Cricetulus griseus: one gene and its partners. The protein of the gene in region 6 binds, or shares a complex with, the protein of the main gene of each other region. Links are inferred from orthologs where the notes say so. Each region holds a gene or a part of one and is shown on either strand. Other genes may lie near its edges.

What was found.
Region 1: Sf3b3 (region 6) and Sf3a1 share a complex: the UniProt entries of both Homo sapiens proteins name them as parts of the 17S U2 SnRNP complex. The link is inferred for Cricetulus griseus from reciprocal best matches to the Homo sapiens genes SF3B3 and SF3A1.
Region 2: Sf3b3 (region 6) and Smu1 share a complex: the UniProt entries of both Homo sapiens proteins name them as parts of the spliceosome B complex. The link is inferred for Cricetulus griseus from reciprocal best matches to the Homo sapiens genes SF3B3 and SMU1.
Region 3: the proteins of Sf3b3 (region 6) and Phf5a are in contact, whole or in part, in a crystal structure (PDB 7B91), measured with the Homo sapiens proteins. The link is inferred for Cricetulus griseus from reciprocal best matches to the Homo sapiens genes SF3B3 and PHF5A. Residues at the interface, in NP_036558.3 of Homo sapiens: Gly85, Arg86, Gln104, Glu105, Thr106, Phe107, Gly108, Lys109, Ser110, Leu140, Ile154, Ser155, Ser156, Pro157, Glu159, Ser1162; in NP_116147.1 of Homo sapiens: Gln14, Ala15, Gly16, Val17, Arg44, Asp47, Glu79, Asp81, Arg82, Asp83.
Region 4: Sf3b3 (region 6) and Sf3a2 share a complex: the UniProt entries of both Homo sapiens proteins name them as parts of the 17S U2 SnRNP complex. The link is inferred for Cricetulus griseus from reciprocal best matches to the Homo sapiens genes SF3B3 and SF3A2.
Region 5: Sf3b3 (region 6) and Ik share a complex: the UniProt entries of both Homo sapiens proteins name them as parts of the spliceosome B complex. The link is inferred for Cricetulus griseus from reciprocal best matches to the Homo sapiens genes SF3B3 and IK.
Region 7: Sf3b3 (region 6) and Sf3b4 share a complex: the UniProt entries of both Homo sapiens proteins name them as parts of the SF3B subcomplex of the 17S U2 SnRNP complex. The link is inferred for Cricetulus griseus from reciprocal best matches to the Homo sapiens genes SF3B3 and SF3B4.

What each region holds. Positions count from the first base shown.
Region 1 is NW_023276807.1:100,723,356-100,726,855, forward strand, and holds part of Sf3a1 (splicing factor 3A subunit 1), read right to left. Parts: intron 1,669-3,500; coding exon 1,461-1,668; intron 504-1,460; coding exon 246-503; intron 1-245. UniProt on the Homo sapiens protein: Component of the 17S U2 SnRNP complex of the spliceosome, a large ribonucleoprotein complex that removes introns from transcribed pre-mRNAs.
Region 2 is NC_048595.1:101,849,611-101,853,628, reverse strand, and holds the start of Smu1 (WD40 repeat-containing protein SMU1), read right to left. Parts: upstream 2,801-4,018; coding exon 2,775-2,800; intron 1,262-2,774; coding exon 1,051-1,261; intron 1-1,050. UniProt on the Homo sapiens protein: Involved in pre-mRNA splicing as a component of the spliceosome. Regulates alternative splicing of the HSPG2 pre-mRNA. Required for normal accumulation of IK.
Region 3 is NC_048595.1:379,006,418-379,010,460, reverse strand, and holds the start of Phf5a (PHD finger-like domain-containing protein 5A), read left to right. Parts: upstream 1-1,243; 5' UTR 1,244-1,333; coding exon 1,334-1,385; intron 1,386-1,959; coding exon 1,960-1,983; intron 1,984-2,509; coding exon 2,510-2,676; intron 2,677-4,043. Other genes in the region: Aco2 (aconitate hydratase, mitochondrial), read right to left, coding at 564-599.
Region 4 is NC_048598.1:101,580,251-101,584,350, reverse strand, and holds the start of Sf3a2 (splicing factor 3A subunit 2), read right to left. Parts: upstream 2,801-4,100; 5' UTR 2,653-2,800; intron 292-2,652; 5' UTR 256-291; coding exon 130-255; intron 18-129; coding exon 1-17. Other genes in the region: Plekhj1 (pleckstrin homology domain-containing family J member 1), read left to right, coding at 3,195-3,288, 3,372-3,439, 3,513-3,579. UniProt on the Homo sapiens protein: Component of the 17S U2 SnRNP complex of the spliceosome, a large ribonucleoprotein complex that removes introns from transcribed pre-mRNAs.
Region 5 is NC_048595.1:200,783,572-200,787,551, forward strand, and holds the start of Ik (protein Red), read right to left. Parts: upstream 2,801-3,980; 5' UTR 2,657-2,800; coding exon 2,641-2,656; intron 1,842-2,640; coding exon 1,775-1,841; intron 1-1,774. Other genes in the region: Ndufa2 (NADH dehydrogenase [ubiquinone] 1 alpha subcomplex subunit 2), read left to right, coding at 2,947-3,047, 3,168-3,274. UniProt on the Homo sapiens protein: Involved in pre-mRNA splicing as a component of the spliceosome. Auxiliary spliceosomal protein that regulates selection of alternative splice sites in a small set of target pre-mRNA species. Required for normal mitotic cell cycle progression.
Region 6 is NC_048596.1:187,226,287-187,229,786, forward strand, and holds part of Sf3b3 (splicing factor 3B subunit 3), read right to left. Parts: intron 2,560-3,500; coding exon 2,464-2,559; intron 252-2,463; coding exon 179-251; intron 1-178. UniProt on the Homo sapiens protein: Component of the 17S U2 SnRNP complex of the spliceosome, a large ribonucleoprotein complex that removes introns from transcribed pre-mRNAs.
Region 7 is NW_023276806.1:60,350,896-60,354,988, forward strand, and holds the start of Sf3b4 (splicing factor 3B subunit 4), read right to left. Parts: upstream 2,801-4,093; 5' UTR 2,677-2,800; coding exon 2,643-2,676; intron 2,258-2,642; coding exon 2,129-2,257; intron 1,882-2,128; coding exon 1,339-1,881; intron 1,092-1,338; coding exon 885-1,091; intron 1-884. UniProt on the Homo sapiens protein: Component of the 17S U2 SnRNP complex of the spliceosome, a large ribonucleoprotein complex that removes introns from transcribed pre-mRNAs.

The DNA of each region.
Region 1 (3,500 bases), on a different chromosome or scaffold from region 6:
CCTCAGTAGAAGGAAAGAACTGAACACTGTTCTGACTCCAAGTGTGTTCCATGGCAAGGCACAAAAGCACCTGCAGTCTTACACACGCACACACGCACGCACGCGCTCGAGCTCGCAGAGTCAAGATTTTACATTAAGTTGGGATTCACATTCCCCCAGATACTCCACAAAGCAAGTGCCCTTGCTGACAGAGTGAATGCTGTACTCCCAGTGGTGAGACACTATCCTCTGCCCTGACCCAGCACCTTGGTATACTGCTCCACCAGCTTTGTGAAGTAATTGAAGAGGCTGTGCTGTGGGCGGAGAAAGTCAAACTGGTAGTTTCGCTGCTCTTTTTGCATCAGCTGGGTCAGAAACTGGCGTCCATTCCTGGCCACAAACTGAGCTGTCAGCTTCACTACATCCAGGTCGAAGGCTGAGATGGAGGGGGGATCAGCAATGAACTCAAACTCAGGAGGGGGCTCCTTTGGTACTATGGTCTCTTGGATCACCTGGGCTTGGACCTAAGACAGAAAGTGTAGAACAAGAACAGAACAGAAGTAAATTAACTCCACAGAATGTCCAAAGACTCCAATGTTTTATTCATTGTAAGCATCACTGGGACTTGCTATAAGAAGACTGGCAACCAAGAGCATTGGTGTCTCATCCAACTATGCCTCAACTCCCTAATCTGTTTTAAGTATCTACATCTCTGATCCCATCCTGAAATCAAAGGCCTAAAGAGGTGGCAAAAATATACAGGAAATAGGCTATAAAATCTAACTAATCTGCAAGGCCCATGTGCATGTGTATGTGTGGTGAATCCCACCGTATAAAGTACATCAAGGCCCTCCAAGAGAACCTTGAAGCAGACAGAACAGATACTATGAATGCTTTTTATAAACGAGAAACTCAGGCCCTACAAGCAGCAACTGAAATGCAAGGTCTTTAAACATGACTTCAACTTTTATTTCTTATGGCTAAACAAAAGGCTGCTTTTCCCACAAAAGTCTGGGAATGGTGCAAAATGAAGAGACCAGTTTGTCTACAAAGTAGACAAACTGCACTTTCCATCTTCATTGACATTTTTGACTGTCCCTAGTTCTGCAACACCCCTGGGCCCAAACAGCACAAACGAAAGGGAAGAAATGGCACAAGGCTACAGTATCTCCCTTAGCTCATCCAGGTCATAATTTGTTTTCATACTACAACTAATTCTTACTCCTTGAATTAATATTTCGTATTTAGACAAGCCTCACCTTTGCCATCTATTAAACAGTTGTTCTGTTGGGCTTTTCATGATCTGAACCCAGAGCACAGAGCTTGACCAACCAGTGATCAAAAAGTGCTATGTATCATCAATGCTTCTGGAACATGAGGGTAATTTTACTTCTGTCCATGGTGGCTATGACGGTGGACAGCAGATATGCCCACCCACCTTATGTCCTCCTTAACCCACAAAGAGGAGATGGGTTCCAAACCTTCTGGGGCAGCTGTTGTTGAGTGGCTTGCTGCTGCTGCTGCATGACCTTGGGGATGGCAGCTGAGGGTTCCTGAGCCTTCCCCTCCTTAAACTCGCTGACCTTGTGGCGGTAGTAGGCATGGTAAGGGTCATTGGGATTTAAAAAGTTGAACTTGGGGTTGTTGATCTCATTCTGTCGGATCCTGGCTTCAAATTCAGGGCCATTTCTGGGAGGAGAAAAATTAACACACCAAATAATGAATATCACAACCTTTGTGACTACTTAATTCAAACCTCCATCCATTTCAACATCTTTTACACCCCTGGCCCTACCAGCTAAACAGAGCAGAAGGCAAGGTAAAGGTGACTTTATGGTTAAGATCAGCCACCACAGGGGCTAGAGACATCGATAACCCAGAGGAGCATTGGTTGCTCTTATAGAGGTACTGAGTTCAATTCCCAGCAACTACATCACAACCATCTGTAATGAGATCTGGTACCCTCTTCTGGTGTGCAAGAATATATGCGAAAAACACTGTATATATAATAAATAAATCTTCAAAACAATCTGTGACATCCATGACACAGACTATAAAATGTGGTGTATCTTTCTTGCACAAATAAAGCCTGTCTGGGAGTCAGAGAATGGAGCTTGCCACTAGCTAACCATAGAGGTCTGGCAGTCTATACAGACTACAGACAGGCAGGAAGTGATGTAGCTGGGCAGAATCAGAACATAAGCAAGGACAAACAGGAAATCACTCTCTTCTCTTCTCTGTGCTGAGCAGTCGACATGTAAGACGCCAGAGGAGTAACAAGTCCCTGGACCTTTCTCCGGTAAGATAAGGCCATGAGGAAATACACAGATTAGTAGTTATGGGTTAATAATTAAGTCAGAGCTAACCAATAAAAAACCATAGCCAGCCAGGCATTGGTGGCGCGTGCCTTAAATTCCATCACTTGGGAGGCAGAGGCAGGTGGATCTCTGTGAGTTCGAGACCAGCCTGGTCTGTAAGAGCTAGTTCCAGGACAGCCTCCAAAGCCACAGAGAAACCCTGTCTTGAAGAACAAACAAACAAACAAAAAGAAACCATAGCCAACGGCCAACAGCTTTATAATTAATATAAGTCTTGTGTGTTCATTTGCGGTTGATGTGGCTATGGGACCAGGCTGGCGGGAAGAGTTCATGTTATAATAGAAGGTCTATCCTCTAGCAAGTTCTGTTCACACCCTGTAGCTTGACTAACACCATGAGGTCTCAACTGACTGTGCGTTAGTCCAACCAGAACTTCATGCTTTGGAAAGAAGTGCTTTCCTACCACCCTGTGCAAACTAAACCACACAGAGCAAGACGGACACAGATTTGGGTCTTCTTAAATCAGGTCATAATGCCTGGAAAATGCCCAGGGAGACTAATGGCTTCTAGAAAAGGGGGGAGGGGATGTCTCTTCCAATGCTGCCTAAGCCACAGCCTCTCTCTACACATCAGGGAACAGTTAGAAAGATGTAATGAGAAGGCAGATGTACTTATTCCAAGAAATTTCAGTGCTCTAAGTTGGCTTACTACTAATTTTAGAATTAGATCCTCCAACACAAGGAATGGATTTCAGCAGAAAAGCCTAACTCTGACTCAGCCCAGCTGGCGGGGCTTTTTAAAGGTAATTTCCAATTTGGCTTTTTGACAGGAAAATGCAGGACTGGAAAGACCTACCTACAGAGAAAAAGTTCTTTATAGTCAGATTTGGTTGTAGATACCCACTGCCTGAATATCCTCTCTCTCAGTGCAAGCATGCAAAAGCAAGTTCAGATTTTATTTACAATTTCTGAGAGAGACTGTGTGTGTGTACACATGGGTATCCTCACTAGTGCTCACATGGAGACCAGAGGTTGACACTGGGTAGCCTCCTCTATCATCTTCAACCTTATTTTTTTGAGACAGGGTCTTGTACTGAGCCTGGGCTCACCACTATGGTTAGACAGGCTGACCAGCCAGTGGGCTCCAAGAATTTGCCTATCTTTATCCCCAACACTATACTTTTATGTGGATGCTGGAGATCCA
Region 2 (4,018 bases), on a different chromosome or scaffold from region 6:
TTAATAGGTTAAGGTTTTTAAGCCAGCCCCACCTCTGGGACAAAGAACCAACGGGGAGGTGGAAGATGAAGACTGGAAATTGTGTTTTATTACATAACCCTGCTGAACAGTACAACAGAACCCTCTGGTTGGTCATTTGCCAGGTGGGAGGCACAACCCAATTCCACTGAAACAAAACCAAAGTTCTACATAGGGGTCTCTTAGACTTAGTTCTTTCTGTCTTGTCCTTTGGGTAGTTCTGAACTGTGTCCTTAATAATAAGACTGTAATCACATAAATACAGAGCTTTTCTAAGTTCTATGGATTATTCTAGTAAATTATCAAATTTGAGCATGTCACATGAGTCCCCAAATTTAGTCAGTTGACCAAAAACTTAAGTGACCTAAAGTCAGGCAGTGATGGGGCACACCTTCAATCCTAGTGCTCTGGAAGCAGAGGAGGTAGTTTGAGGCCAACCTATAAAACTAGTTCTAGGACAGCCAAAAAACAAAACAAAAAACAAAAAACAAAAAAAGAAAACAAAAAAAAAGAAAGAAGAAAAAAAGCTCAAATGGTCTAAAAATGCCATACTAAGCCCTTCCCCACTCCCCCTCACCCTGTCACAGCACACCCCAACACAGTACAGCTAGTATATAAAGTGAGGGAAATCTATGTCAAACTTAGCGATGTGTGCTAATTCCAGGTGGTCAGTGTCTTAGCTGAATCACATTATATTATATCACTAAATATCCTTGGCTGGCCTGGAACTCACTATGTAGACCACCTGGTCTCAAACCATTATGCTCAACTTGAGAATACTTATTTTATGACCACCTAAAAAGTTAATTCAGTTTCCTTGGGTTTCAGCCTCAAAACCATACCAAGAAATAATTTAAATTTGGTTAATACTTCCAAGAAGGAAGGAAAAAAAATACACTGTTGAGTCATGACAATGTATATTTTACAGTCACTTATATATTATCCCTTGAGCATTTGAAGGAAGGCTCACTGATACTTCCCAATTAAGGGACTAACTCACAAACATCAGGATAACAGACTTTTCATTCTTACCTGTTCATAGAGATCAATAAGGGTTTTGTCTGGCAATTTCAGAGACTGGATAGCCTGTAAAACAGTGTCCCAATGGCCACTATTAATATCAGCCACAAAACTTTCAATGCTGTCCACAGTATTAAGAGAGACAGTAGTCTCCTCCTGCAAGGTGGCCAATGCCCGATGTAAACTGTTCTCCTTCAAGTACTGCATGATAAGACGAATCACACTGAAAAGAAAGCAAGGAAACCATCATTTCAGAGATCTCCAGTCACCAGAGGCCAAATTAACCCTTTAACTCACCAACTTAGTCCTTTTACTGCCCACTTTCCACTTAATTGCGAAAGTCACAGAATCAAGGTTCCAAAGGACTTGGAAACTATAAATCAGAGAAGGGAAATCATTTGCCCAATGTCTCACACTCAGAAAGCAACTAGGTAGTCATTATAATTCTGATCACTGAATTTACTGGATATTTGTGTGAGAAACTTTAAACCTACAAGTCAATGGTATTTTTTAAAGCATCTGACCGGGTGGTAGGGATGTTCAACTTTAATCAAAATTTAAAAAAATTATGAGGCAGATAGATAAGATAGACAGACAGACATAGATACATAGATAGACAGACAGATAGATAGATAAAATCATCTACATTGCTATAGCAAATCTTGATCCATTTTTTAAAAAATTGACAAGCCAAATAAATAAAATCATTAAATAAGTAGCTTACATCGTTAAATAGATTAAATTATTAAATAAGTAGTCATCTACATTGATGCAGTAGATCTTGGTCCATTTAAAACAATGACCAGCCAAATAAAAAACAAATAAATAGTCATTAATTAGATTAAATCATTAAATAATTAAATTATTAAATAAAGAAGTAAATAGATTAAGCCATCTACATTGCTATAGAAAATCTTAGTCCATTTAAAAAAACAAGACAAATAAATAAAAATAGATAGATAGATAGACAGACAGATAGACAGATAGATAGATTCATCCAAATTGCTGTAGGAAATCTTGGTTCCTTTAAAAAAAAAAAAATGACAAGACCTTCCCACTCGACTCTTTAGTGCTACAATGATAGATGTGCACACTCCACACCCGATTTCCAGTCTTAAAAAATACACAGCGGGTCTCAATCTCGGCGGATTTAATAAACCTCCCTCTTCTGCAGATCTCAGGGCAGATCTATCTCCCTTGCACTCCGAACACAAACGTCTGCTAATTCACATTTTTGTTAGCAAGAAGAGGCAGCGGTGGAGTCCTCGAGAAGTCCACGAAAGACTCTGCAATCAGTAACTGCACTCCTGCCCGGCTCCTAGCCTTCCCCGTCTTCCTAAACATCATTCTTCTGACCCAAAACTCAAATTCTGTCTGTCCACGCCGACGTTCTCCATCTACAAGCTGCAAACCAAAACTCGGCGCCACACTGGGACTGAGCAAATAGAAGCAACCGAGCCTTTATGGACTAAGACGAAAGAAAAGCGGCCTGGGGGGCTGGTGGCACACGGACAGCATTGAGTGAGGGCAGAGGGAAGCACAGCAGTCAGGTCTGCCCGTGTTCCTCTGCAGCCCCACAAGCGGGCCGCGGGGCTCCGGGCTTCCCGCCCCAGGGCTGCTCTCCCGCGGGCACACAGAGGAGACAGGCCACCGAGGCCGCAGCCTCCTCGGACGTCCTCTCGAGCCCCCTCCACCCTACGCCACACCACACCGGGACAAGTCCCCGCAGTACTCACTCGGAAGACTCGATTTCGATCGACATAGCGGTATCGCTCCGGGTCCAGGCCCCTCGCAGTACAGACCGAGTCGCACAACACTTAGCGACACTTCCGGCGGCCGCCTCGCGTCACTGCCGCTCGACGAAGTTCTAAGGGCGATGAGGGAGGCGCAGAGGTTGCGCAGTGCGTGAGGGACGGGGCCTAGCGTGCTTGTCAAAAGTCTGTCTGGAGCTGGCGAGACCGCTCAGAAAGTCAAGGGGACTGCCGCCGATCCTGGCGAACTGAGTTCGATCCCGGGACCCACCAGGCAGAGGCGGAGAACCGGCTCGCTCGCGCTGGGAGTCCTTTTCCCTCGCTGAGCTGTGGCTGGGGTCTGACTGCACGCTAACGCAAGCACGGTGTCTCTTTTATAGGGGTTGGCTGTCCCCGCCCTCCTGTCCCACCCTGTCGCTGGGTTGGGCTAAAGGAGTGTGCCTCCGCCTCCCTAGTACAGCGATTAAAGGCGTGTACTCACTTGATTCCATTACCGTGGGAGTTCGAGGGCAATCTGATCTACTCTCAAAAACAAAACAAAAACATTTTATCTATTTATGAGTGTGTGCACTGTGCGTGTTTGTGTTTGTGTGTGTGTGTATGTACATGTAAAGGACAGAAGATAATTTTAGAGGAGTTCATTTTCTCCTTCCACTATGTGGATCCAAGTGATCAAACTTTGTTAGATTTTGTGGCAAGTGCCTTTACCTGCTGAGCCATCTCACTGGCCCTGTCATATTATTTTACTTCAGCTAGAATTACTTCTTTATTTTACCTATAAAAATAAATTTTCTATATAATTACTTAATACAAGGCTTTAGTGTCTTCCATAATTTTATTTTATTTTTATAATTCCAATTATAATGTTTATATTCAGGCTTATTTATTATTTATATAAATATAAGCAGCTCCTGCGTTCACTATGTCTTTAATAGTAATGAATGAGTGGTTTTCTTTTGTTTTGGTTTTTTGTTTGTTTGTTTTGGTCTTTTTTGTTATTTTGTCTTTTTTTTTTCTGCAGCAAAGGAACAAATGTCTTAAGGAAACTTGCCACTTCGCAGGACAATTAAAAAGCAGTAGGGGTTGGGGATTTAGCTCAGTGGTAGAGTACTTTCTAGTTTTCTGATATCAAGTATTTTATTTCTTAATTTGGGTTATTTATTTACTTATTTTTAGCTTTTATTTTAAGGTTTCTCTGTGTAACCCAAGCTATCCTGGAACTCATTCTG
Region 3 (4,043 bases), on a different chromosome or scaffold from region 6:
GAGAGGAACCACTGTTATCATGACTATGGACTATACTGGTGCTCAGAATACTCTACCCTTCTTGCATCTATGACCCCAGGTGTCCTCAAAAGGTAGTATTGGGTATAGCTTCTGCAGACTCCAGGCCCGAGAACCACACATACAAACGGCTGGCAAATCTCTGCTGTTAATGGGAAGTGAGGGCTTCAAGCACCTGGCTTAGAGGAACCCACAACCACCGCGCCCCCCAGTAACCTTGTCATCACCTTGAGAACAGAAAACCACACTGGGGGGAGCGGGCAATTCGGCCCTCAGGAAATGAGGGGTGCCCTCATCCTTTATCACACTGCGGATGCTTAGACTCAAGCTTCCCGCTGGGCGGGGACGGGGACTGGGCCTGGGAACTGACTGTGCCAGGGACACCTTGACCTAGGACAAGGCAGGAGCGGACAAGGACGCTGGGCCTGCAACCGGGACAGGTTCGCAAAAGTCAGCCCCAGGTTGAGCCCGCCTCGCGTGGCCTCGCCTACCGCCGCAGGCAGAGCTCCCCGCCCCCGTGAACCCACACATCGGAGCTCGCTCACCTGCAGCCGGGTCACCAGGAGGCTGTAAGGCGCCATTTTGTGCACTGACAAAGATGAGGTCGCGTGAAAGTGACGTGCCACAGGGCGCTTTTGAAGTGCTTGGGAAGGGGCGTGGCCTCCAAAGCGGCGCGTCACGGTGAGGGTGGGGCCTTCCTCCTCGGAGCCGGAGTCCAGAGAGCGCAGTGGGCGGGGCTTCCATGACGGGCACAGCGCGAGAAAGAAACTGCCAGCTTGTCAGTCTTTGCACTTGGGGACGGAGACGGCAGCGGAGCCAGGAGTTCAAGGTCATCCTTCACGCCTTGAGACTCAAAAGGGAACCCCCAGACCACATATTTTGCGGAAGCATGCGTGAGGCCCTGGCCTCAGCCCCGAGCACAAAAAGTACCATGTGTACAAAAGTTTTTTGCGAGACAGGTCTGGCTGGCCTCGAACTCAGAGATCCGCCTCCCGAGTGCTGGGACTAAAGGCGTGTGCTACCACCAACCAGCCATATGTAGGAATTTTATCCAAGACAAAAACACTTAGTTTATTCGTTCAAATCGGGAGGGAACAAAAACTTTATTATAAAGTCTTTGATGCACCTGCTAGGGGTCCAGCAAGTTCACGCTGAGAAAACTCGCGAGAACTAGCGAGATTTGGTGCAACGAAGGGCAAAAGCTGATGGGCACCTTGACGGCCAATCACGATGGAGAAGTGGGTGTAGGAACGGCGTAGGTTAAAGGTCGAGCGGAAGTTCTCTAAGCTTCCGGCCGCCGGCTTGGGGACGAGTGATGGCTAAACACCATCCAGATTTGATTTTCTGCCGCAAGCAGGCTGGTGTTGGTGAGTTGGCTCGCCGCTCCCTTCCGTTGGAGTGGGATGGTGTTAGAAACGGGAGAGTGGGGGGTTCGCTTCCTCTTTAGGGCCTGGCCTTGGGGGCTCCACGTTTCGCGCCTTGCGGTCCCTGGGTATTCTGGGGGTGCGCCCAGGTTTGTGACTTGTGATAAGAAGGCAGGATCGCGCGTCTGGGAGCCTGAAACTGGGGGCAGCGTCTGCGCTAGGTCTGGAGAAGCCGTCCCAGGTTGCTTTGAGGATTCCGGACAGGGCGCTGGTGCAAAGCAAAACTTAGGGGCTTAGGCCGGGCGTGGTAGTTCACGACTGTAATCCCAGCGCCTGGGAGGCTGAAGGCAGAAGATTGCTGGGGGTTCGAGGCCGACCTGAACTACATAAGAAGTTCCAGGCTATAAAACGGGAATCTGTTGGGAGGAGGGGCGTGGAGAGGGGAAAAAAAAGGATAATAAGACAGCTATTCTGCTCACTGTAGTCATTGCTACCTGCCCCATCCTCTATCCCAGCTTTGAGGAACAACTTCCTTGCTAAATCACCATTTTGATTTTAACTGTGTTTTTTCTTGCAGCTATCGGAAGACTGTGTGAAAAATGTGAGTGGAACATACCCTCTCACACATTGCCTTCTTTCTTTGTTTTTTGACGAGCCAACAAGCCATTTATTCCAGAGGAGCCCTAAAGAAGCATTGAGTGGATATGCCAGACTGCAAAGAACACTGAATCTCTGACTACAACCAAAGGCTCCCCACCAGACTCCCACTTTAGCTTGCATACTTTAATATTTCATACTTAGGTTGTGGGGGAAAAATACTTTTGGACAGTAAGAACTATCAGAGTAGTGTGAACCTTCCCAGGCCAATGTTTGTGCAAGAAGGCATGCAATTTGTTGATGATAACTACATAGACTTAAAAGCTCCTAGCTAACACGTCAAAACTCTTCCCATTTATATTTTGAAGGAAACTGAGGTAGATGGTAGATATAAGATAGGGTGGATGCTGTCAAGATAGAGAAAAGGCCTGAAGTCACAGTCAAAGGGAGACTGGTTATTTCACCCATAGAATAAAGATCTTTAGGAAGTAATCACTAGTGAATATAACTCCATTCCTCTTCCTTTGCAGGTGATGGCAAATGTGTGATTTGTGACTCCTATGTGCGACCCTGCACCCTGGTTCGCATATGTGATGAGTGTAACTATGGATCTTACCAGGGCCGGTGTGTGATCTGTGGAGGCCCCGGAGTCTCCGATGCCTACTATTGTAAAGAATGCACCATTCAGGAGAAGGATGTGAGTGTAGACTTGAGCATTCCCTCCTGGCCTTTCTTCCTTTTTCTTTGGACCATTTTGCCATCCATGTCCATCTCTTCTGGTCTATGGAGACTGCAATGTTCAGCTAGTCATGTAGGTAGAGGTTATTATCATCCTCCTTTTATACTCTGTCCCAGGCTATCTGACTAAATCTGGTGTCCACATTACATCATGTTATGCTTCTCTAAGACCTTCTTGGTGTGTGCTCATGATGAAGAGAGCACCCAGCCTCCTCAGCACTCCACATGTGGATGCTACCTACCACCAGTACCCGAAGCCAGATAGGGCTTTAAGGAGGGAGGGGGGTTGTTCTACGTGGTGCGGAAGGTGATCTATGATAGCTGCATTTTCAGTTTTGATTGACTTTATCATCAAATCTCAAATCGGGTCTTACCACATCCAGCAGATATTGATTGGGGAAGCCACATTTAGGCATTAGCTAGAGTTCCCAACTGAGAGCTTTTTCTCCATGGATGAGCTCCAGGCTTTTCTTACTGCCTGCATGCAGTTTATGCCACAGGACATACAAATGATTCCTGTTGGGTATATCCTCACTGTTCTCAGTGCTGCAGAGTTTGGTTGTGTTTGGTTTGGTTGAATTTCTTTGTTACATCTATTTGTGTGGGTGCATGTGGTATTAAGAGGACAGCTTGCCTGGAGTTGGTCCCACACACACACACACACACTAGTGAGTATTTTGGCCCACTAATACTTTTATGTGCTTACTGTTTTTCCCTGTCCTTCTTAGAGAACCAGATTGGTGCTTGGCCCAGAATGGAGTTTTAGAGCAGCTGAAAAGTATTGTTTACTCTGTTGAATCCACTATTGTTTGGGAAAAGGGGAATGTTGTTGATTAAGTATGAAATCATAATTTCAGTTGGTGGTTTGAACATTCTCCTGCCCTAAATGCTCTTTCCAATTCTTTAGACAACCAGAACTCGATTGTATTCTGTCTTCCACAGCTGTGGATTATGTCCTCCATCTTTCCTTTTTCTCGGGTCTTGGTAATAGTGCCTAATCTGTAATACAAGGATGGTGCTCTCTTTTTGGTACTGTGCCTATAAAGTGTTCCTGGGAGACACTCCCCACCCTGGGCATTTGTTATTTAGGAACTGGGAAGTACTGGGTGTAATGGAAAGAGGAGGGACACACAGTTCTCAAGCTAAAGGGTCCCTGAAGAGACAACACTTTCTTGAGCTTTCAGAAATGTCTAGAGTCTGTTTCTGACTTAAGCTTGGAACCAGAGGATGCTTGCTAAACAGTAATTGCCATCTCACTTGTCTGCATGCGCCCTGTGATCTGATACCTTTGGATCCCTGCCCCTCATTCTGCTCCCTGAGAATTAT
Region 4 (4,100 bases), on a different chromosome or scaffold from region 6:
TTCATGAAATATGGGTCCTTGGAGGGAACATATGTACCCATTAGATCGCAGAGCCTGGCCCCATGAACCTGGGTCTGTAGGTGTGGGGACACTGCTCCCTCCACACCCCTACTGTAGGTACCCCCCCACCTTGTTGATGTCAATGGTTTCTAAGGCCAGCTGTCGCAGGCGTTCCCTGCGGTCCCGGTTGCTCTCAGAGGAGGAGGCCACGCCCCCACTCCCAGTCTTGCCTCCAGGTCTGTGCTGGAAGTCCATGGTGAAGGCCTGGAAGCTTCAGGGACACACAGAAACCTGGAGGAACAAAAGGGCAACAGATTCAGAACAGCACACATTCATGCAGCAAGCAGGCCTTCCCTTGCCTTCTATGTTCCAGATTGGATTCCACCTTACCCTTAGAGTGAATGTGGATTGGTGGAGAAGCAACCAGCCCAAGACCCTAGGCTAGTGTCATTTTTTTCAAGTCTCACGTAACCAAAGCTAGCTGTAAACTCACTGTGTAGCTCAGGCTAGTTTAACTCCTGGTCCCCGTAAGCACTGAAATTACAGGGGTGTGCCATTATATCTGTCTTTGGTTATGAGGTAGGTGGGGGACAGGCAGAGTCTCATGTAGCCTGGGTTGTCCTTTAAACTCCTGATCCTCCCAAGTGACTGCAGGTATGAGCCACCTTTGCCTGCTGTGTCATATTAAGATGGGGGGGGGGGTCTCTTTAAGTAGACCTGGCTGTCCTCAGAGATCCATCAAGTGTTGGGATTAAAAGACCTCACACACCCATCTGACACACAAGGATTATGTTTTTTCCTAGTCTTCCAAGTCCTGAATGTTGTCCACTAGGAAGAACACTTTAGACTGCTCATTGTCTGCCCCAGGGCCTTGGTTTAAACCCAGAGGTAAACTCAGGGACATGTCCAGGAGACAAGTGGAGGGCAGTCCTTGTCATCATTGTTGGAGCCTCATACAGCAAAAGGAATTTTGAAAATGATATCAAAAACTCCGAGGGCCAGGTAGTGTCACCATGGAGTCAGAAGGACTCAGGGCAGAGACACAGTGAGGTCGCTGGCTGTTGACTCTGGAGGAGGAAGGGGCAAAAGCCAAGGGACACATGGGCCTTAAGACGCTGGGATGGCTGAGAGCATTCATGTGTACTGAAGCTGTCTGTGGGCAGGACCAGCCTGTCTGGTCTGTTTCATGCTCAGCCACACAGGACTGAAAAAGAAAAGCACTGCCTATACCTTCGAAAGCTACCAGGAGACACAGACCCACAGATGAAGTTGGCCAGATGCAAGAGCAGAGTCCAAGGCTGGCCGCAGGCTTCCCAGAACAAGAGGGTACCTGGAGCAGTGACAGCATGAAAACCTACTCTGACTTCTGGTGTCCAGCCAGCCACAGGCTTGAGGGTACAACTCAAGGCCCCTAGAGTCTTGCTTTCACGTGTAGGGGTGTGGGCACCCACTAAATGAAAAATGCAATTCATCTGTTTTGGAGAGGCTAAAAAAAAAAAAAAAACAAGAAAACCCAGGACAAAACTAGCTTGGGTGAGCATGCGCCTTGGTTCTGGGGTAGGAGCAGAGTCTTGCAAAATCTCACCACTGAGCTACCTTTCCCAGCCTGTGACATTTTCAACCTCGGGAAACACTAGCAATTGTGGTGGGCATGGTGGCAAACACCTTTCACATCAGCTCTTGTCTTGGGAGGCCAAGGTAGGAAGACACCCGAGTTGGAGGCCAGCCTGGGCTGCACAGTAAAATCTTGTCTTAAAAGCATTTGGTGTCCTTCCAGAGGATCCAAGTTCAGTTTCTAGCACTCAAACTGGGCAACTGACAACCACCCGAAACTCAAGCTCCAGTGGATCTGGACTCATTCACATGCACAGACACACATACACACGAAGAAAAGATAGTCCCGGAAAAAGAAACACGGGGAAAGCAATGCGAACACCAGCACTTATCTTTCTGCTTCCTGACTACAGCTGCCTCAAGCTCCTGGGACAAAACTTCCCCACCAAACTGAATTGCACTCCTACTGTCAGCGGTAATAAACCCTTCCAAATTAAACAGCCAGGTGCGGCGGCATATGCTGTTAATCCCAGTCGTCCGGAGGCAGAGGCACCGCGATGTGTGTGAGGTAAGAGTTCCTGGTCGGCCAGAATTGGGCAGGGAGACACTGTCTGAAATAGAAGTTCTGCCAACGCCTGGATGCGCTCACAAGTGAGGCGTGGGGCAGGAGGGAGAACGGATGGATGGAGACGAGCTACCTCACGGACCACCATAAGATCACCGACAAACGAGACAGGGAAACGAAGTGCTGTCTGAGAAGGAGACGGCCTGGGATGGAAATACCGTTATCTTCCAGTCCCAGCAAAGGACCGGCTCGGGTGGGCGGCAGCAGCAGTCGCCAGGGCCCTGACTAACGACGAGGAAAGCTGAGGCAATCAAGGAGCTCAAAAGACCCTCAGGAACCGGGGCACGCTGGGGGCCGCAGACGCGCCACGGAAGCCCGCGATGCCGCCGCGGCCACTGGGCCGCGCGAGCGCCGCCGCGCCGCCCGCCGGCCGGCCCTTCCGTCCAGCCCCGCGCCCTCGCTGCTGCTTCCGACCCCCTTCCGAGACACCAAAGCCGGGGTAGCTTCCACCAACAAGCCGAGTAACACCTCACCGGCGCCAAAGGCCGCGCAGCCCAGGCGTAACGTCCGCGAGGCCCACGATTTCGCTGTGCGCACGCGCAGGCCGGACTAAGCAGTCACTTCCGGGGGAAAATAAGGCGGAGTTTCGGTTGTGCGCATGCCCAGAAGATGGACTCGGTTTAAAGAGGCGCGAGTGAAAGGAGCGCCGGAGTCCGAAGTGCGCACGCGCACTGAGTTATTCACGAACTCTCGCTGAGTATCGCGACAGGACGAAATCGTTATGTCTCAGCAGCCTCGGAACGCGCTTCGCTTGACAGGGGGTGCTACGGATCTAGCTTGATACCTCACGTTTAGTGTGTTTGACAGTTACCTAGGACGGGCGACTTCCTTCCTTTCTGACTCTGCGAGCAACTGCGCCCGCAGACACGCTAGCGCCCCGGCGCGCAGGCGCAGTAGCTCTGCTGGGACTTCCGGGAATGTTCCCTGAGACTTTTGTGGTGCTGAGCGCACCTTCCGAGCGGACGGCGGCCGAGAGGCAGGGCGCCCTCCGGTTCGCGCGGGTCCCCACGGCGTGATGCGGTACAACGAGAAGGAGTTGCAGGCGCTGTCCCGTCAGCCGGCGGAGATGGCGGCCGAGCTGGGCATGCGGGGCCCCAAGAAGGGCAGCGGTGAGCGAGCCGGGGCCGCGGCTGGGCACCTCCCCGGGGGGCGGAGGAGGACAGTTCCCGCTGACACCGCCCCGTGTCCGCAGTGGCCAAGAGGCGGCTGGTGAAGCTGGTCGTCAACTTCCTCTTCTACTTCCGCCCGGACGAGGCCGAGGTAGGGGCGTGGGGGGCTCGGGGGGCCCGCGCGGCCCGGAGCCGGCCGGCGCTCATGGCCGTGTCTCGCGCAGCCCCTCGGAGCCCTGTTGCTGGAGCGCTGCAGAGTGGCCCAGGAAGAGCCCGGCGGCTTCTCCATCAGTAAGTGCGCCGGTCCCCACAGTCCCCACTCCGGACTCTGCTCCGCACACCCCTCCCCACCCCCGCCCCAACCTCCGTTTGTCCTGGATCCCGAGTTTCCGGGGCCCAGCGCTGCATCAGCTGTCAAATTGCCCCCGGGTCTGGTCCCCGCTGGTGCGACCATAGTTTCTTCCCCGCCTTCAGTACCTGTTCACGGCAGGGATATGAGCAGCCTGCGCAGACTTTGTTGGTGTGGCATAAACAGTTCCTCCCGCCGGCAGGGCTTCTGAGGTTTTGAAGTGACATCTGATTCAGCCTTCTTCCTTGGTGATCTTTACAGTACCGTCCTGTAGACATTTGGCCCTCATGTCTTCCTCCATCATCACGGGGTTCTCCATCACTACCCTTAATTTCTGCTTCTTGCACGTGTATATTGAGGCCAGATGTCAATTTCTGATGTCTTCACCTCTCCCTTAAAACAATACATCAATATGTACACATACGTGTATTTGTGTGTGATCGAGCATGCCCCTAAGATCAGA
Region 5 (3,980 bases), on a different chromosome or scaffold from region 6:
CAGAAAAGAGACCTTTAAAACACACAGTTAACTTTACTAAAACAAGGGAAACACAAATGAAAGCAGACATGCCACTTTCAACACATAGAAGTTAGATTTTGTTTGTTTTTTGATTTTTCAAGACAGAATTTCTCTGTGTAACCCTGGCTGTCCTGGAATTCACTCTGTAGACCAGGTGGGCGTCAAACTCAAGATTTGCCTGCCTCTGCCTCCCAGGTACTGGGATTAAAGATGTTCATCACCACCATCTAGCTTAAAAGTTTTATCAAATCAAATGTGATTGAAATTTTAGAACATGGATACTCTCTCTCTTTTTTTTTTTTTTTTGGTTTTTCAAGACAGGGTTTCTGTGTGGCTTTGGAGGCTGTCCTGGAACTAGCTCTGTAGATCAGGCTGGTCTTGAACTCAAAGAGATCCGCCTGCCTCTGCCTCCTGAGTGCTGGGATTAAAGGCTTGCGCCACTAATACTCGGCAAAACATGGATACTCTCATACAGTTGCAGGAATGCTGGAGTGGGGGCTTAGTTCTTTACTAAAACTTTACAACAAAGGACAAGGCTTAGTCAAAAATGAGACTTGCTGGTCATGGCGGCACAGTGGTGGCAAATGCTGGAAACGAGGCAAAAGGACTGCTAATTTGAAGCAAACCTGGGCTGTATCTAAAGGACAAGGGCCTAGCTCATGTATAAGGCCCTAGATTCAATCTTCAGTATTACCAAAAAACAAAACAAAACAAAAAAAAAAATGTGGGGGGGGGAGAAGGGAGGTGTCTTGGATTATTGTACAGGAGCACATGCCTCAGCACTTGAGAGGCTGAGACAGGAGGATGATCAGATTGAAGTCTCTTTCAAATAAATAAAAATTTAAAAAAAGAAGATACGGTAGTTAATGCCTGCAATCTCAGCACTCAGGAAACTTGAGGGAGGAGGAAGGCCACAAGTTCCATGCCAGTTTGGGATAAAGTGTGAATCTATCTCTAGGAAAAAAAAAAAAAAGAGGGCTGGGGAGAGAGATGTGCTTGAATGCAAGCCTAACTACTTAAGTTCAGGTCTACAGAACCCACATAGGAGCTGGGCACAGTAATAAAAGTGTCTGTAATCTTAGCACAAGCCTTATCACCAGACAGAAACAGAAGAATTACCAGACGCTTACAGAACTACCTATCTGGCTGCCCGAAATGAACAAAAAATGCCCTATCTCAAAACAAGGTGGAGGATGAAGACAACCTACAGTTGTCCTTTGACCTCCACATGTGCACCCACTCACACACTCCAAGTAATAATATGAGGTAAAAAAAGACGATTTTACTCTCATTTCCAACGCTTAGTTTTCACCAGGAAAAAAAATTTATTATATATATATATATATCACAGCAACACAAACACCAGACTCTTCTAATAATTTCTCTTCTAATACTCTTATGTAGTGTACATGATTCACAATGTTCACAGAGATAAATGGTCCAAACTTCTTTTTTTGGTTCATAAGCACAACTTTACTAAAAAACAGACACCCAAAGCAATGCAATCATTCTGTATAACTTAACAAAATTAAGCAAAACTACATATCTTGGTAAGGTAAGTGAACTTATGATAAAGCTTTCTGTGGGAAAATACAGCATGTTGTACAGATTAGCGTTTTCCTTTCAATAAACCACATCCTATGAACTTTTTGACCATTCTTGCCAACAAAATATTCAGAATTCCTTCACTATCTCTACCATCCCTCCTGCTCATTACTCAACTCATTCTGTGGTTCAAAGACAAAATACTCACTGGTGGAAGGAATGAGGATCATCCACATCGTGGCCATCTGGAGCCAAAGGGTTAGAAAAGGGCTCACCTTAAAAAGAAAAATTGACATTACATTATCAGTCGTTAAATGTGTGAGGTTCCATGCACAAACTGGCAATTATAAAAACGAACAGAAGAGAAGACAAGAGGTGCAGCAGGCGGGGCAGTGGCTGCGCACACCTTTAATCCCAGCACTCAGGAGGCAGAGGCAGGTGGATCTCTGTGAGTTGGAGGCCAGCCTGGTCTCCAGAGCGAGTGCCAGGACCGGCTCCAAAGCTACACAGAGAAACCCTGTCTCGAAAAAAAAAAAAAAAAAAAAAAAAAAGAGGGAAAGGGATGTTTGTGGTGGCCTGAGGCTATCACCCCAGCACTTGAGAGGTAGAGAAAGAGATCAAGAATTTGAAAACCGCCTAGGTTCGAGATTCCGTCTCACTTGTTCAAAAAAAAAAATTATGAAGATGGTTTTCTTAAACGAAGTGGAGAATCAAAAACTTTTTTTCAAGAGATGGCTTCTAAACTACTACACGAAAGAGCCCAGCATCCGGCAATCCCAAATACTCGGGACTTTTGAGGTTTACCTGACGAATTCCTCCCCTCCCGTGTCAGATAAACAAACCAAGTCCCCGAAAAGGAAGCACAGCCAGGGTTTATTTACTCAGGAGAGGGTAGGGAGGTGGGTCTGCCTCACAAATTCAAAACGCCGCTCCTCAACCTAGGTACGAAACTCAGGGGCTGCAGCTGGGCTGTCCGGGCCTCTCCTGACGACCAATGGTTGGCGCGGCTCCATCTGTACCTAGCACCTGGCCTAAATCTCTAGTCCGGCGGGCACAAAACAGTGGTTGACTTACTATCTCGCTCTGGCATTTTGGCCGCGGTCTCTCAAAGCCGGCAATCGTGAAAATCTCCTCTACAAAACAACAGCGACAAGCTTCTTCCCACAGTGCACCGCGAAAACTTGCCCCAGTGCTTTGCGTTCCGGGCCTTCCGGCTTCCTTAGCGTCTCACCTCACAGCCGCTAAAAAGGCCTCAAGTCATTGGCGAGATTTACCCCGCCCCTCCTTCGTCATCCAATCGGGGGGAGGAGACTAGAGGACCTGTTATTGGTCCGATGGGTGGGTGAAGAGTCGTGATTGGGCGCCTCTGTGTTAGCAAAGATGGCGGCCGCCGCTGCTAGACGAGTGATCGGTACCAAGCTGGCGCTGCGTGAGATTCGCATCCACTTATGTCAGCGTTCGCCGGGCAGCCAGGGTGTGAGGTGAGGTGAGGCGTGGCGTGGGGAGGCGAGTGGGCTTCGGAAGCTGGAGTTATGACCTTGACCTTCGGGGGGGAGGGGTCAGTGCCCGTAGCACTAGCGTCGGTCTCCCCGGCCCTACAGGGATTTCATCCAGCAACGTTACGTGGATCTGAAGAAAGCGCACCCCGGCCTTCCCATTCTAATCCGCGAATGTTCGGAGGTGCAGCCCAAGCTGTGGGCCCGCTACGGTGAGTACTGACTACCGGAGGCAGGGACCCGGGTCACGGAATACGGGTTAGACAAAAAAGAAAACAAGGCGGGGGGGCGGGGTGCTTCCCAACCGTCGTGGGAAAGCCCGGCTGAGGACCAAAACTCGAACTTCCGATGATGAGATTCACATTTACCTAGTTGTGTGATGCTTTTTATAACTGACAACATATATATGGAGTCTGACTGGATCTTGTACGAACCACTAGTTTTTGCAGTTCAGAGGGGACTTCAGGTAAAACATGCTTCTCCGTGACAATGTAGGTCCTTCCGAATTATGCCTTAGTCAGTGCAAATTCAGGGACTGAGAATTTCAATAACGTTGAGCACTTCATGTCTAGGGCTTGTGCTGTGTACCTTACTCATTCCCATTAGTCTTCATTAATGTTATGAATGGGTGCTTTCTTTCGTAGATACTAGAAAACTTAAACATAGAATCAGCCAAAAATTATATAGCTAGAATAGAACAGGGTTGAGCTTTTACGTTTTGTGCCCCTTTCTTATAGTGAACTGTTAATACAATTGGCTCCCATCATCCAGGTTATAACTTGCATCTAACCTTTATTATTACTGTCTCAAAAAAGGCATTCCTGAACCATACTGTGAATCCCAGCTACAGATCCTCCCAGGCAGAGGCAGGAGAATCACAAACTCAGGGACTATCTGAGGCTATAGTGAGTTCAAGCC
Region 6 (3,500 bases):
AGAGCAGCAGTAAATGAAGGTACCCTGATCAGAAGAAGCCTCAAAAAAAGGTGTGTCTTGCCAGAAGTTTCTGGGGTACTAAATGAAGCGATACAGACATATTATGAATGCAGTTTCTAAATTTCCCATGGCAATGGTTCCCAAGACCCATCTTGACTACCAGGAAAGGGACACTTACCTTCAATGTGCCGACGCACTGTCCAGACAGCATTGGGGTTACCAGGGAGCTCAGAAACAGCCATTTCTGACACCTAAAAGGAGAGCAGGCAAGCCACAGATCCAGTGAGCATGAAACTCTACTACTTAATATTATGCTAGGTGACACTATCCCAAGGCAAAGGCCTCACCCTGTACAGTGCACTAAAAGAACTGGAACACTTAGTGAAAAAAGAATGTAAAATCCAAAGACTGACGGCACAGGCAATCCCTTGACAGCAAAAAGGCATGGAACATACAGAAGGGTACAGGTTTACAACCAAACTATATGCTTCCTTTGAATATGCCATGCCTATATCCTTAAAAAAAAAAAAAGAAAAAAAAAATCAGGCAGTGGTGGTACACACCTTTAATCCCAGAACTTGGGAGGTGGATTTGTGTGAGTTCAAGGCCAGCCTGGTCTACTGAGCAAGGTCCAGGACAGGCTCCAAAGCTACAGAGAAACTCTGTCTCAAGAACAACAACAAAAGACAAGCACCATTGGAAACAAATGAAACAACCTAAATCAGTATTTTATTGCTTTCTCTAACTTTCACAAGATAAAAATAATATCTCTTCAAAGATTATTTATTACCTTTGGAATTTTTTTGAAAAACCCATTCTAAGTTTATTAAATATTATTAAATGACTCAGAGACAGAGTGCTTCATACACTGTACTTATAGAAAGAACAAGGCACTACCCTTTTCAGTTTCCAAGAACATTAAGACATAAGAACTTCATTAGTAAAACTTATGTGTCAAGTATCCTACTCAACTAATAGAAAATTTGGTTTTTTTGGTTTTTTTCATATTAAGACTATAGTCAAAAGTAAGACAGGTATACAAGAAGGAACAAAGCAATAACTATTTTTAACTATTTCCAAAATACAACAAAAGCTCTGCTTATAAAGTTGTAAGGACAGAGGGCAAGGCACTAAAAAGCAACTCTGGAATCCTTTATCTTACACTACACTAGGAGCCAATGAGCAGTAAGTAATTGAGAACTTCAGCTCCTGGTATGCAGATTTGGACAGTGGGACTGCTCTGTCTGGGCCAGCCCTAGGTACAATGAGACCTTTTCTTTAAACACAACAAAAAGAAAGCCAGGTAGTGGCGCACACCTTTAATCCCAGTGTTCAGGAGGCAAGGCAGGTGGATTTCTGTGAGTTTGATGCCAGCCAGGTCCACAGAACAAGTTCCAGGACAGGAGGGCTACACAGAGAAACCCTGTCTCAAAACAAAACAAAAGGGGTGGTGGTGGTGGTGGGGTGTGGTGGTGGGGATAACAGGAAGAGAAGAAAAAGGAAAGTCAAGCAGGTAGGCCTACTGGTTCTAAATTTGATCAAGGCCACTCAAAACTTAGTGAAATAATGAAACTAGCCTTGAATTCAAAAATCTTTCTACTTTTGACTACTGTGGCTCAAGTTACGGACATGCACCTCCACTTTTATAGTTTTAAGGTCATATCTTAAGCTGTTTCACCCAAACAACAATGTATTAGGGCAAATGCCATCATTAAGTGAATTTTACAGAACAAAAGTTTAAAGTTGCTATTTACTAAAGCCATATTTAAAACGAAGGTCATCTTGGCAATATTTCAACAAAATTTGATGAGAAACAGACAACAGGGGAGCTGGAGAGATGGCTCATAGTTTAAGAGCATTAACTGAAGCCGGGTGTTGGTGGCACACACCTTTAATTCCAGCACTCAGGAGGCAGAGGCAGGTGGATCTCAGTGAGTTCGAGACCAGCCTGGTCTACAAGAGCTAGTTCCAGGACAGCCCCCAAAGCCACAGAGAAACCCTGCCTCCACCTGCCCCCCGCCCCAAAAAAACATTAACTGCTCTTCCAGAGGTCCTGAGTTCAATTTCCAGGACCCACATGGTGGCTCAAAATAATCTATAATGAGATCTGATGCCCTCTTCTGGCCTGCAGGCAAATGTGTAGATAGAACACTGCATACATAATAAATCTTAAAAAAGGAAAGAAAAAGGATGACAGTCATCTTAATACCTACCTTTGCCAACCACAAACTCTAACTTCAAATGGTCATGGAAAATATTATTTACTTCCGCTAAGATGTCATAGGGAATGAACTAGTAAGGGAAAAGTAATCTGAACTCCATAAACTTCAGGGACAAGAGAAAGTACATATTTGTTCATAAAAACAGTAGTTTATCTTTGACCTCCTCAAAGTTAGCCTGTACAATGTTCTGTGCAGACCTTCCTTTCACATCATAAAGAGAACCAAGAAATTCCCATCTTACCTCAAGTCCATGCCTTAAGACTCTCAGCGATGACCGGGGTCCTCTACCACAGGCGACATACAGCTGTGGAGTATCTTCATTGGCCAGATCAGCTATCTGCACAACAAGGGGAAAATGTCTATTGTACTAAGCTTTCAAATACAACTATGAAAGGACAAACTATTCTCTGGTTTAAAGTTATATAATGGCTACTGACTGGGATAAGAGAAAAGGCCCTAGTGTTCCACATTAAACAAACAACGAAACCCCACAAAACACTGTTGGGTGGCGGTGGCACACTTAATCCCAGCACTCACAAGGCCGAGGCAGGAAGAAGCCAGCAGCCTGAGCCTGGTTGACACAGTGAGTTCCAAGACAGCAAGGAATGCAGAGAAACCCTGTCATGAAAAACAAAACAAAACAAAAAAAAACGAAAACAAAACACCACCAACAACAACAACAACAAAAAAAAAAAAACAAGAAAAACCAAACACTTATGTAATTTGTTCAGAAGTCAAAAAGGAACTTTGACATTTAGTGAAATGAAGTTTTGTTATAACCTGCATCTGAAATTAGTGTTTTCTTCCACTTAAAAGAGTCAAATTACATTGATTATAACTTTGTCACTCATAAAAACAATTTTAACATAAGTTTACAGGTGTTCCAATTACCTTAAGTACTATTTCAAAAATTTATTAGACCCATTAATAGTTATATATCTACACATATGCTTTTGATATGGCTAGCCAACTCATATGTAATTGCACCAAGGACAGTCTTGAACTTCAATCTTACACAATTAGTCAGGCAGGGCAGCTTAACCCTGTACTCCCAGCACTCAGGAGGCTGAGGCAGTAGAATAGTGTGTTCACAACTAGACTTGAGCTACACAGAGTCTCAAAACAAACACCCCTCATAGACTGATAGGTTTAGGCCCTGAACTCCTTTAACTACCAGTTTTTCACAGCAGTGATTCCACAGACAAGTTGTTTGTTAAGACTACAATTCAACCTGAGGAAAACTTTAAATGATCACATTTCAATTTAATAACAAGATGG
Region 7 (4,093 bases), on a different chromosome or scaffold from region 6:
TGAACTTAGCTGCTACAAACAAGGGCTGTAGAAGGAGATGCTGGAAGGAGAAAAGTGAACTGTGGGTTGAGCAGCAGCCTTGTCTAGCCTGTCAAGAACCATGGACTAGAGACAGAAGGAATCAGTACCTGCACATTTAACACTACAAATAAACACTGGAAGAAGAACAAAGCACAAAATCTACACAGACAAAAAAGGGGGCTGACCCAGGTTGCTGAGGTTGATAAGTCACATAGAGGAAACAGTTTAATACATGCATAGCTCGTCATGTGTATAGTAGTGGTTAAGAAGCAGAAACAGGCCAGGCGTTGGTGGTGCACGCCTTTAATCCCAGCACTCGGGAGGCAAAGGCAGGAGGATCTCTGTGAGCTCGAGGCCAGCCTGGTCTACAGAGCCAGTGCCAGGATAGGCTCCAAAACTACACAGAGAAACCCTGTCTCGAAAAACAAAAACAAAAAGCAGAAACGGCTGCCCAGTGGTAGTGCCACCTTTAAACCCAGCACTTGGGAGACAGAGGCAGGCAGATCTCTGAGTTCAGGGCCAGCCTGGTCTACAGAATGAGTTGCAGGACAGTCAGGATCCTACACAGAGAGACCTTATCCCTAAAACAAAACAACAACAAAAAAAAATAAGCAAAAATGTCGCCTAGATCTGGCAACTGAGCTCCTTCCTGGGAATCAGAGGAGAGGCTGAGAGTAAAAACAGTAAGAACAGGCTATTCTGCAGAAAAAGGAAAAACCAGAGACAAGACGGGAGGGAGCTGAAGTACACACAGAAGTATTTTCTGAAGGAAAGGGAGACTCTAGACTATTTCCACCCAAGACAAAGAGCAGTGACAGAATCACTCTCACAAGCTCATCTCCGTTTCCCAGCAGACCACTTACCTGGATGGGGCATCCCACCTGGTGGGAATGGGTGAGGATGTGAGTGTCCGTGACCAGGATGCCCAGCTCCTGGAGTTCCTGCTGCTGGGGGGCCATGTCCTCCAGCCCCAGGTGGCATAGGTGGTGGGGGCATGGCTGGGGGTATCCCAGGAGGGAGGGCTCCAGGTGGCGGCACTGGAGGTGGGAAGGAGCCAGGAGGAGGCATGCCTATACAAGAAACGAGAGTCTATCTTGTGAAGAAAGAAAGACTGTCTTACAGAGCTCTAGCTTCCTTCCAGCACACTAAACTCCAGTCTCCCAAAGAAACCCAACATCTGCATCCCTTCCACCAGCACTCCTCATCCCTTTCTCGCTGCCCGCTGAGTTAACAGCTTACTCCCTCAGGGTTTCTTCTGCCTTCTGACCCTCCCTCCCAAGGGCCTCTCACTGGTGTAGTTTGAACTAAAAGCTTTACCTGGTGGAGGAAGCCCAGAACCCAGGGATGAAACCACAGGATTGGGGGCAGAGGGTGGAGGGGGTGCATCTGCGAACAGCTGGTGAGGACGGTCAGCCTGGGACAGCGGGTTCTGGGCTGCCAGAAGTCGTTCAGCTGCTGAGCCATGGCGCTCGCCTTTAGAGTCCTTCTTGAAGGCGTAAGACACAGTGATGGGTCTGTTACACAGGTACTGCCCATTCATGGCCTCAATTGCTGCATCCGAAGCATCAAAGGAGGCAAAATTAATGAAGGCATAACCCTTAGAGTTGCCTGTGTCAGGGTCCCGCATAATCTTGGGGGTTTGTAAGATGACCCCAAAGGCGCTGAAAGTATCATAAAGCAGCTTCTCATCGATTTCTGGGTCCAGGTTCCCAATGAAAATGTTGGCCCCTACATCCAGGTTTTTGTTGTGAGCTGAAGCCTTGTTCACCCGTATGGGCTTCCCATAGAGTTTGATCATGTTCATAATTTTAATAGCATAGTCAGCATCTTCCTCACTCAAGAATTCAACGAAGCCATAGCCTGGGGAATTGAAGAAAAGACTACTCAGATGAAGAGATTCAAAACGACACACTAACTCACCAGCCTCCAAACAAAGAACAAGTTGGAAGAATCCCAACTTCAAACTAAAGCTAAGAGACTACTCCTGAAACAAACTGCCAACTGAAGCTTAGAGAAAGAAACCATTCCAAAATAGCTGTGACTAGTGTTGAGATGCTTCAGGGGCCGCTAACCCAAAGTAAAGTCATTTCTTGCCGTAAATACTCACCTTGGTGCTGGCCAGTGACTCTATCCTTTGGCATGTGGGTGTTGACCACCGGCCCTGCCTGGAGAAAGAGCTCCCACAGCAGTGGTTCGCTCACTTTCTCGTCTAGACCGCCCACGTACACCGTGGCATCTAAAGCAAGAAAGCAGAAGGTAAGGACGAGGTCACGAGTTAAAAGGAAAACAGAAATTTAAAAAAAAAGTAACTAAAACCCTGAGATCACCCTTTGCCTGCCTAGTATAAAAAAACCCGCTCAAGTCTAATGTGGCGTTCTTGCGGATTGTGTACTTCCCGGTGGAGTTTCAATGATGCGCTTGGTAGCAGCGGGAGTGCCTACGGGAACCGGATCCAGAGGCATCACCCTCACAGGCCTCGGCCTCAACCCGGCCCCCAGGCCCAGCCCCCAGACGCGGGCCTTCCCGGGGAAACCTAGTTTCCCACGCTGGCGCTAACGCTTCTAGCACTCATCTGCCCTCCACCTCCCTGGGCCCACCTTGGGCTCTTCTCCCCCAATTACCCTGATTCCGTTCGGAGATGGGCCCGGCAGCCATGGCGAAGAGGCTCCCGCCGTCTCTAAGCGGCAGCACCGCCCTCTGACCTGTTACGACTTCCACTTCCGGGCCAAGGCTCCCATTGGGCGGGGCGGGCGGCAGGGGAGGAGCCGGAAGTGGCCGCGGCCATCTTAGGCGTCTGACGCGTGTCTGGAAAGACGCTGTGGTGGAGCTCTCACGACGCCCGGCTGGCGCCGAGGCGCTCAGGCCCCTCTTGACGACGCGGCTCTCGCCTGTCAGGCAGTCCCGCTGCTCCCCAGCCCAAATTTAAGCCCTAATCTCAGCCTTGTATGTTCTGTGACGCAGAGAAGCGTGCTGGGGGGAGGGAGGGGCGGGCCGGCTGCCTCGGGACGCAGCCTGTTACCTCAGTGCAGACGGAAGTGTCTGAGCCCCACTATTCGTGGGGTCATCTGAGGCACGGTGCCGCGTGTGTTCACGGTCAGTCTCAGCCTCGGGAGCACTCGGCAGCACCGTGCATCCCTCCCCTCCCACAGAAGAGACACTCAGAGAGCCTTCCTCCCGGGCCAGGACAGCCAGGGCTACACAGAGAAACCCTGTCTCAAAAAAAAAAAAAAAAAAAAAAAAAGGGGTTGGTGCTTCTTTCTCCAAATTTCGTCGGAATAGCCCCTCCTGTTTTGGGTCCTTAACTTCTTTTTTATCTATTTGTTTTGTTTCTCGAGACAGGGTTTCCCTGTGGCTTTGGAGGCTGTCCTGGAACTCGCTCTTGTAGACCAGGCTGGCCTCGAACTGGGTCCTTAATTTCTGTATCAATAATCTGGGTGCTTTTCTCTCAGTGCATACCCTCCCCCAACCACTTTACCGAGATCTTCATTCAACACAAGAAACAATACCAGCAATGTGTAGAAATACTGTGCTTTAATGAAGTCCTTAAATAGAAATACCACTACAAAAATATACAGTGGGAGGACAGGGTGTCTCCCTTATTTCCCTCATTCCCACAGAAGACTAAGAAACTGGATTTCAAAGCAGTGTGAGGGGTTGAGAATGAAGTCTCTGGGGCATCTTGTTGGAACTGATGAAGTGTCTCTGATCTCACAGTTTTGACAGTTTGTCATCTAAACGGCATGGAATTGCCAGAGAAAAAAAGGAAACGTTCTGAAGTGGTTTTGTTTCTTATTCCAGAGAAACAAAAATAGCTGGAGGTTGGTAGCTCCATGTCTGCTACAGAAACTCACTCACGGAGTGAGCTCCTTTATGGGCTGGAATGTGAAAGCTTGAAACACTGAGGTCAGATACAAAGAAACATGAGCAGAACTCCCTCCACATTCCCTCTGCCCTGCCTTCGAGAATGCTAGCAGTCTCAACGGATCTGAGAGAGGATGGTATTTGGATCTCTCTTCTTGCAGTGATCCTCAGGAGATATTCTTGGTGTCAGTTTTCTTAATAGTTCCTGAAG